Kluyveromyces lactis: one gene and its partner. Each later gene encodes a partner of the first gene's protein in a complex. Links are inferred from orthologs where the notes say so. Each region holds a gene or a part of one and is shown in the gene's direction. Other genes may lie near its edges.

Region 1 (5,433 bases):
AAAACTTAAACTAATTATCATGTCTGCCACCTTGAGAGTATCAGATTTTAGTGAAAACCCTACTTTATTCCCTGTTTCTCCACCTGTCTTAAAGGTCGACGCCAGGCAGTATCCAGTGGCTGTACATTTCAATCGTAGAACAGCTTATAACTATGCTGAAGAGGCTTTCAGGAAGACGTGTAAAATACATCAAAGGTTGCCTCCTGGTGCTATCTTGGTTTTTATGACAGGACAGCAAGAGATCACGCACATGGTAAAAAGGTTAAGAAAAGAGTTTCCTTTCCCCAAGAAACATCAAACTCTCATTCAAAATGACCACATACCTACAGTGAAAATAGATGCCAAAACTGCAGATGTAGAAGCTGAAGATATCGACTTCAGTGTCAGAGTTAGAGAGGAACAAGAATTTGACGATTGTTTACTCTCTGATGAGGAAGATATTGAGGACAAAGAAGAGGACGAAGAAGAAGGTTTTGAAGAAACACTTGAAGAAGGTCAGACGGATAGAGATCCACTATATGTTCTTCCTCTTTACTCGCTATTGCCCACCAAAGAGCAAATGAAGGTCTTCCTTGATCCCCCACCAAACTCCAGATTATGTGTTGTTGCTACTAATGTGGCAGAAACATCATTGACCATACCGGGAGTAAGATACGTCGTTGATTGTGGTAGATCAAAGGAAAGAAAGTTTGATGAAAATAATGGTGTTCAGAGTTTCGAAATTGACTGGATTAGCAAAGCTTCTGCTGGCCAAAGAAGTGGTAGAGCAGGGCGTACAGGGCCTGGTCATTGTTATCGTTTATACTCCTCTGCAGTTTTCGAAAGAGATTTTGAGCAGTTTTCTAAGCCTGAAATTTTAAGAATGCCTGTGGAGAGTATAGTTTTGCAAATGAAGAGCATGGCTGTTCATAATATTGTGAATTTTCCATTCCCTACCCCACCCGAAAGACCAGCTTTGATGAAGTCAATAAAGCTCTTACAACACCTAGGTGCACTCGACAGTAATGAAAGAATCACTGATGATGGTAAAGCAATGAGTTTGTTTCCGCTAAGTCCAAGATTTTCTAAAATGCTGCTTGTTGGTAATGAAAGCGACTGTTTGAAATATGTTGTTACCATTGTCAGTGCCCTTTCAGTAGGTGAGCCGTTTTTATCTGAACAAGAGCTTGGTATCATGGATACTGTGCCCAAGACACAAGATGAAGGACAATTAGATGACTATCCTGATCACGAAGCTGAGGAAAGAAAAAGGCTATTGCGCTCCAAGTATGTTAAAAGCAAAATTAGATTTAGTAAGCTTGATAAATTCAGTGATGTTTTCCGTCTTTTAAGTGCAGTATCTGCGTTGGATTTCATTCCAAAGGATCAGCACAGTTCTTTCATGGAAAAAAATTTCTTAAGGGCAAAAACCGTAGAGGAGATTATGAAGTTGAGAAAGCAGGTGATGTTCATCATCAGGTCAGTTACTTCGAGAGAAAATGTAGCTGTAAATGTTAAAGACGAAGACTTGAAGAGCTCGATCCCCACCGATGTTCAAATCAAATTACTCAAGCAAATGATCACAGCAGGATTTATCGACCAGGTGGCCGTTCGCGCAGACCAGTTATTCCCGGAAGACGTTACTATCAACAAAACCAACATTTTCAATATCCCTTATGTTCCAGTCCTTGCTGAGAAAACATCTTCTTTGGATGATATCTTTGTTTATATTCATCCAACCTCAATTCTCAACAATTCTGGCGAGCAACCTCCGAAATACTTGGTTTTCCAATCACTACATGTCAATAAAAATAATGAAAAGGCGAAAACAAGGATGAAGTCTCTTTGTGACATTAAAAGCACGCCATTGGCTAACGTTGCAAGAAAGGGCTCGTTACTCACTTACGGAAAACCAATCACTGGACAAGGTTTGAAACCTATTGATTTATCGCCAACAGAAAGATTCTGCTATGTTGTTCCTAGATTTGGATCTTGCAATGATAGCGACATCAAGATTGGTTGGGAACTCAATCCTATCCCTGTTCATCAAGAGAAAGAGAAAGGTGTATGGACGGTCAAGAAATTCCTTACTCCAAAAGCATTTAAAAACTATCAAGCTTCGAAAAGACCCTAGAACTACACCAGTACAATTTATAGAATTAATTAACTCATATAATACCAATTGCATTGGAATAATTAAAGGCCAATACCTAGCTTGTTAGGCTATGACTGGGTACTGTTGCTGTGACAGGAATCTCTGTAAAAGCTGTCAATGGATGCCAGTTGGATCATGATGTACGGTTTTGATGTTTTTCATAATGAAAACACAGGTTTTGGCGCAGGTTGATCAATAAAGGCTTCTTACATTACTGCTGAATGACAAACTGATGGGCAGTGAGAGAGTACAAGGTCTGCAAACTCTTTTATAGTGGGCTAAAAATAAGTAAACAATGGTAGAGCTGCTAAAAGAGAATTTTTTTCAGAACTTACTAACTGTTTTAAAAGGGTATGTGAATATAAAAACAACACATTTTTCATTCGAATTATGTTGCATTCGCACATGTTTTTGTCTAGAATCGGTGATAATAATAAATTAAAGACCAGCATACGATGACCTGGGGTTCCTCAAGTCTTTATTTTATGTTTTCAGTGTTAGATTTGCCAAAGCATGATTTTATTTTACAATCAAATACTAACAGTATTAATTTTATTTTGATTTAATTAGTGCATCTTCGAAATGCAGAGCTTTAGATGAAAGGTTTCCTAAAGAATTCTACGAGCCTGATCCAACACACATATACGATTCTTACGTGAAGTTTCTAAGGGCCAAGTTTGATGAAAATCCAGATATCAAAATAGCAGAAGATATTGATTCAATTTCCATATCTGATAAATTTGCTAGTGGAGATTACCAGAAGCATGAAGATTCTGTTTATCGGATTTACCATGATATTAAATTAGTATGCTCCATTTTAATTCACTACTACTCTCAAGGAACGAGGTCGTACCAAATGGTCGACAAATTCTACAAATTTGCAGCAGAATTGATTCTAAGGGAATGTTATAGAGTTGGAGCCAAACTGGTGGGAGACTTCGCGGCAGACATTGACTTCAAAGAAAGTGATTTTTCAAAAACCATTTCCAATGATTTCCTTAAAATTAGTCAAGTTTATCAGCTCCCCGTTACTGAAACTTACCATACGCAGACAAAGGAGGGACATTTGTTCAGTTCGGTGATAACGAGGTCAGTACTTGATCAGAGGCCAAAGGAAGTACCATACGAGGAATGTGAAATTGTGAAAATTATTCCTCAAGCAACATCCCAACCAGCCAATAGATTGGGATTCGTAGCAGCTAACACTTCCAATGTTCCTGATCCAACAATTTCTCCTACAGAAATCATGACCTCCTTTCTGCATCCGAATTGGTACCCGCTACCCACTACTAAATGGTTGGAGTATGGCGACTATCAATCTTTTGCTCCGAGTATCTCGGAGTTCAAGTCTGTAACAGATTGTTCCCGTAAAGGAGACATATGGTTGGAAAAGGTCGGATACAAAAGCTGGTTAGAAATAGAATCGAAGAAGAGAGGGGCTGCGGAAGCAGAAGATAAAAATGTTGAAGATGAAAAAATAAAGGATGAGGGTATTGAAGATCAAAAGGTTGAGGAAGCAAATGACAGTATCGGATCTGACAACCAAAAAAAGGAATCAAATGAAAATGATGAAGAGCAGAATGTTGCCACGGATGAAGAGCAAGATACAAATGAGGAGGGAGATGAAGTAATAGTGACAACGGAGCCAGCTGGACCTGTCAATATTAATTTGAAAAATCTTTATGACTGGCAACCTAGCCATGAGATACATGATGAAGATATAACGGCTTTTGAGCAAGGTGAACAGCAAAGGTTATTGACAGAGATATTGCTAAAGCTAAAGGCATGTAAATCGAGAAGGGTCAAGCTGAACAAGATATCAAAACCAACAAGTGAGGAAGTTTCCCTTTATCATAGAGCACAGAACATCTTGAAAGAAGCTCTACTTTCTAAACAGATTGTGACATCTCCAAAATTGCACGAGAAACATTTCCCAGTCCTTCAGACTAATTATGCCGGATCAGTTCCTGTCGTCAAGACCATATCGACTAGAAAAAAGAAAAGTAAGAAAGTTATGCAGTGAAGTAGATATTTCCGTATAGAATCTATAAATCGCAGCTGTGGTAGTGTGCAATAATCTGTGGGGCTAGTTTATTATCAGTGATAGCTAACGGTTACTATTATTTGGAGTTATTTTCTGAAACCATCAGTGTTTCGATTTTTTTACTTCCTCAATTACTTTCGAAGGTAAATGTCCAAGAACAATTAAAGATTATATAAAGAACAAAGAAATTAACCACAACAAAGGTACAAGAGAAGAGATCAACAAAGCAGATCCAATAAGTACAATTTACGAATTGATTATAGATTAAACAGAATCCATCAAAACTATATAAAATGCCTACTTAGACTTAAAAATGCACGTCCGCTCCCATGAGGTATGAAAATACAAGATAACAATTCAATGAACCAATTGTCAACCATATAACAAATGAACTGATGCTCAACAGTCTTCCATTGGTGTAGTCAATGGACTTAACGCCTTTCGATAATAATCTACTTTCTTCAGTACTGTCTGCAGATGCGGGTGCAGAATCCACATCCACAACGGTCATAATTTTATGATTCATAGTGAAGTAAATCAAAGGAGCAGAAACGATTGGTAAAATCAATGAGAGAACCACTTGACTCAAGTTTAGAATACTAGATACCCCCTTTTCTCCCAAGAAAGCCGTAACTAAGAAACAGGGTACGATGGCTATCAACCTTGTCAATAGACGAGTCACCCAAGGTTCAAGTGACCACTCTAAAAACCCTTCTGATACAATTTGACCTGCCATGGTACAAATGACACCTGCTGATTGACCACTAAAGAGCATTGCCAATGCAAATACGAGCCCAGCAGCTGGAGACACATAATGGGACAATAATTCATAAATAGAGAGTAAATCAGCATCCTCTGCATCGGGTTGCCCATATAAAGTCGCACCAGCGACTATTAAAATGGCAGCATTGACGAAAGTGGCGATGAAAAACAACGACACTATCAATTCAGCGTACGAATATCGCAACGTGTACTCAATGGCACCTACTGAAGGTTGTTCCTTAATTTTACCGTATTTTTTTAAGTCGTAATCGAAAACCCTTGGTTTTACGAGAGAGGAACCCAAAAATAAGGAATGAGGCATCACAGTAGCACCAAGAATACCTAAAGAGATATACATCGCTTGTTGTTCTTTGAAGATGATGGGATTTGGAATGAAGCCTTTGAACACCTCTAACTTGCTTGGTACGGATATCTTGAACAATTCAATAGCGAAACAAATAACTGTCGCTCCAACTAAAATCCCAACAAAAGT
Region 2 (4,108 bases), on another chromosome or scaffold:
AGCTGGTGTAGAAGTAGCAGCTGGCAAGGATTCGAATTGATCAGCCTTGGAAGCAATGTGGTTGAACCATCTAGAGAATTCTGGGTAAGTAGATTGGAAAGCCTTGAAAGCAGAGACGTCAGCTTGAGTAGCAGAGGTACTATATTGATGCAATTGTTAGTTAGTAAAATGGAAAGAACAAAAAAATGAAATTTTTTTGTATGGCAGCTAAGCTTGCTTGCTGAAAAGAGAATTCAATAAAAAAGATAAATCAGAATCGTACTGTCTAGGTACTGTCTCTTTGTCACTCATACCGGGGGTCTTACTTCCCGTCATAAACACGGACCAAAGAATTTGTTCATCATTGAAATAGTAAACTTTGAAGAATTCTCTTATTCAAAAAACTGCTTGATGCCATTGGAAAACCACCACTATAATTATTTCACATACCCTTCAATGTAAGACTTGTCAGCCAAGAAAGTGTTCAACTTTTGCAAGGTTTCGACCTTGGAGAAATCAGAGAAAGACATCGTTAATGGATAGTTAAACCTGGTGAGAGAAGAAACTAGGAAAGAATCAATTCCTCTTCTTCTTCTTACAAGGAACGTTGAATCAAATTGACGAAAAAAAAATACTGAAAAGCTGATGAAAAACTCTAATTCGAAAAGTTCCAATATATATATATATATATTTATGAGATATATGATATGTAAGACGTATGTACTATGGAATTATGGCATCTACGTGTATTCAAAGTGCATGCAATGTGCGGTGGAAGAAAATTTTTTTTCTTCCTTGTAAGTGCGATGAGATAGATACTGGAAAGGCAACAGCAGAAAACAGGGCACGCTGCGGCGTGCCCTGCGACAATTTGAGAAAAACCAAGTTTATTTTCAAAAATCATGGGTCCACCCCTTTGAAAAACGATTTTGCCATAGTAAATGGTTCCAAAACGGTACGGATTTTTCTGAGAAAGTGTTCTTTTTTTCATTTTTTTCAAACTGGATTCCTTTTCTTTTGACAAGTGAAATGTTTACTCAGGGTAACACTTAGATTGTTCAATCAACTCATCACTGTATACGAATATGAAAAAGTATCCATCAATTCAAGAATAGAAGTGCAAGTTCGTGTTTTAGGGCTGGTTGAATAAAGACTATGATAGTGTTACTACAAACAAACGGTTTACTCATTGAAGCGTGCTGATATACAGCAGACAAAGCAACTACGACCTGCCTCCCAAAATTGTATTGATATGTCGCTCGTACCGCAAGCCTACTTGAGTAACTTCCATAATAGAGTGAAGAACGAGGATGTTCCGTTGTTTACTGCTGCGCAGTTATCGAGAAACAAGAGGGGTAAACAGGTGAACTACGCTGAGTTCGATACGGATCTCTTGGATGAATTCATCGACAAGAACGATGAGGATGATTTGGAGGATGATGTGGACGATTCGGATGGTCGTCGTAGGGGTGGGGACTACTATGATCAAGTAGACGGTAGTGATGGAGGTGCTGCGGCTGCTGCCGCCACCGCCGCCGCAGCGGCGGGACTCGGTGAAGATGGTGGCATTGGTGAGGGCACGCCCGGGTCTGGTGACCCCGGTGCTGTCACTGGCGGAACGCCGGCTGCAGATACTGGGCCAGACGGTACAAACGATGGTACTGCAGGAACGTCAAATCCTAGCTCAGAATTGGATCGCATCAAACTAAACGACTTGCCCGACCTTGAAAGTCAGGATGATTCTGCCACTCCGCTAGCTTTGTTGAAATATCCTAGGATTAGGGAAACTTTCGTGCAAAGTAGGATCGCTATCAGTTATAAAGACCTTCTTGGAGATTCTATCCAGGATCCGCAGCAAGTGGATATAGAAAGCCCGATAATGGTTCCAATACGGTTAAACGTTGAATTCAGTGGACACAAGTTAGCAGATTTTTTCATGTGGAATTTGAACGACCATTCGATGACTCCAGAACAGTTTGCTACGATCTTGTGCCAGGATCTTGATTTCCCAGTGCTTTCCAACCCAAATAATTCCCCATATACACAGATTATCTCTATGATTAACGAACAATTACAAGAATATGAAACATTGGCATCTTTACAGGTTCCTGATTTACACGTGATAATAAATTTGACTGCAAATCTCGATTCCAAGCTTTATGATGACACTTTTGAATGGAACCTTAATGACGATTCATTATGCCCAGAACAATTCGCAGAATTGGTGGTACAGGACCTGGGCTTGCAAAGAGAGTTCGTTCCTGCCATTGCACATTCGTTGCATGAATCCTTGCTAAAGGTAAAGAAGGATTGGCTCGAAGGTAATTTGAATTTGGCCCATGTAGAAAATAAGGCAGCTTTCGGTTACACATCAGGTATCCGTCTAGATATAGATACACTTGGCGCCTCATGGTTCCCTAAGGTAGAAGTCCTCTCACAATGGGAAATCGAAAAGCGTGAAATTGAAAAGGAGAGAAACATGAGAAGATTAAAGAGAGAAAGTGCCAAGGTCGATGACGGAAGATCCAGAAGAAGAGGCAAGAGGAGAATGGATGACTTGGAAACTACTTTGAGAATATAAGTGTGTTCTCTTTTCCGGCCAAGCAGTTTAACTTCACAGACGCCCATTAGACAAAGCTGTATAGAAAATAAAGTTCTCCATCTATTCGTGGAGATTTATGTATCATTAATGTATTAATACCACCGTCATCTGTGGTTTTGCACAAATACTCTTCCTTTTCGTCAGACTATTATTTATTTAGTCGCCAAAAATCTCCACAACAAATAGAAAAAGATCAAAGATCATCGCGAATCAGTAATGCGTACGCTGGGAATAATAAAAAGTACATACCCGAAATCCTTATTACTTCAATTACTATGCTCCACGAAGTATTATACAAGCATTTAGACGGCATTTTAGTCTCACGTTTGTATACTGAGGATCAGTTTGTTGATCTATTTTCTAGAACGATACCGGAATCCAACACTGTGATCGCGTCACAGTTATACAAAAGTTATGAAGAGAATGATCAACGGATCATTGAAAAAATAGATAAACTCATCGACAACAAGCTGTCTTTGATAAGAGTTGAGCTCGAACGGGAACAAATTGAAGACTCCATTTCTCTCGAGGAAGTAAATAAACTATTGCATAGCATTGATGATATGTTGCAGCAGCATTTAAATCAATTAAACATTGAACTAGATAATAAAAATACAAAACTTTTGAAATATGCAATGGAACTCAGTGACATTGAAGCAATAGATACTTCCATGTACGATAATGTTGCAAAATTAATAACGGACATGGAAACCAACCAACCTTCTAGTTGAAAAGCTCAAGAACACACGGTAGAATCTATTCCAGGCACTTCCAATTCTTCACCAACCCATTGGAAGACTTCATACTTGGAGTTCAAATCTTTGTTTGAATGCATGCAGTATCCATCACCTGAATCAGGTTTCAGTGCACCGCTGACCGACATAGGATTGATGAATATGCATCTTTTCACTCTGGAATGAATTAGTGCCATGCTGCACATTGAGCACGGCTCATGACTGGTGTATACGTCAAAATCTAAGCAGAGATAAGTTTCCCCTTGATGTATATCTTTTTCTGACGCGGTACCGTTTTGGACACGGTCTCTTCTCTCCTGCTCTTCTTTAGCTACCTCATTTATTCCGACCATAACACTGTGATCGAGGGGAGATCCACTATGTCTATAATCCTTTGATATTATAATTTTACCAGATTTTGGATTAACGAATGCCGATACTATTGGAAGTTGCATGCTATCCGAATCTCGGATTGCTCGAGACTCTTCTGCTATCTTGGTTAACAATGACCGAATCTCTGTCATGTCAAATATATAGTCGTTTAATATCTGGTCATTAGGATTTCCTCTCCAAATTAACGGCCAATACTGTTCACTCCACTTCAACATTAAGCTTTTAGTCGATGGACCGACCTTCGGTACTTTGTTATCGTCTTTCACATTGTCATACTGGAAAACGACTCCTTTCAGCATATTGTCAAAAGTTGATCTATCCGGTATGTACTCTTTGGAGCCGATAAGTACTCGTAGTGTGTCGCTATCAAGCTTCTTGATCCGTTTCACATGAAGGAATG

Evidence for each region. Proteins that work in one complex are often made in the same cells at the same time.
Region 2: RSC58 (region 1) and SFH1 share a complex: the UniProt entries of both Saccharomyces cerevisiae proteins name them as parts of the two forms of the RSC complex. The link is inferred for Kluyveromyces lactis from reciprocal best matches to the Saccharomyces cerevisiae genes RSC58 and SFH1.

The regions. Positions count from the first base shown.
Region 1 is NC_006042.1:1,592,761-1,598,193, reverse strand, and holds RSC58 (Rsc58p), read left to right. Parts: upstream 1-2,429; coding exon 2,430-2,485; intron 2,486-2,704; coding exon 2,705-4,157; downstream 4,158-5,433. Other genes in the region: ATP-dependent RNA helicase ECM16, read left to right, coding at 1-2,113; putative divalent metal ion transporter SMF3, read right to left, coding at 4,486-5,433. UniProt on the Saccharomyces cerevisiae protein: Component of the chromatin structure-remodeling complex (RSC), which is involved in transcription regulation and nucleosome positioning. RSC is responsible for the transfer of a histone octamer from a nucleosome core particle to naked DNA.
Region 2 is NC_006039.1:1,627,929-1,632,036, reverse strand, and holds SFH1 (Sfh1p), read left to right. Parts: upstream 1-1,231; coding exon 1,232-2,560; downstream 2,561-4,108. Other genes in the region: EFB1 (translation elongation factor 1 subunit beta), read right to left, coding at 1-139, 430-509; NKP2 (Nkp2p), read left to right, coding at 2,857-3,312; TAD3 (Tad3p), read right to left, coding at 3,318-4,108. UniProt on the Saccharomyces cerevisiae protein: Component of the chromatin structure-remodeling complex (RSC), which is involved in transcription regulation and nucleosome positioning. RSC is responsible for the transfer of a histone octamer from a nucleosome core particle to naked DNA.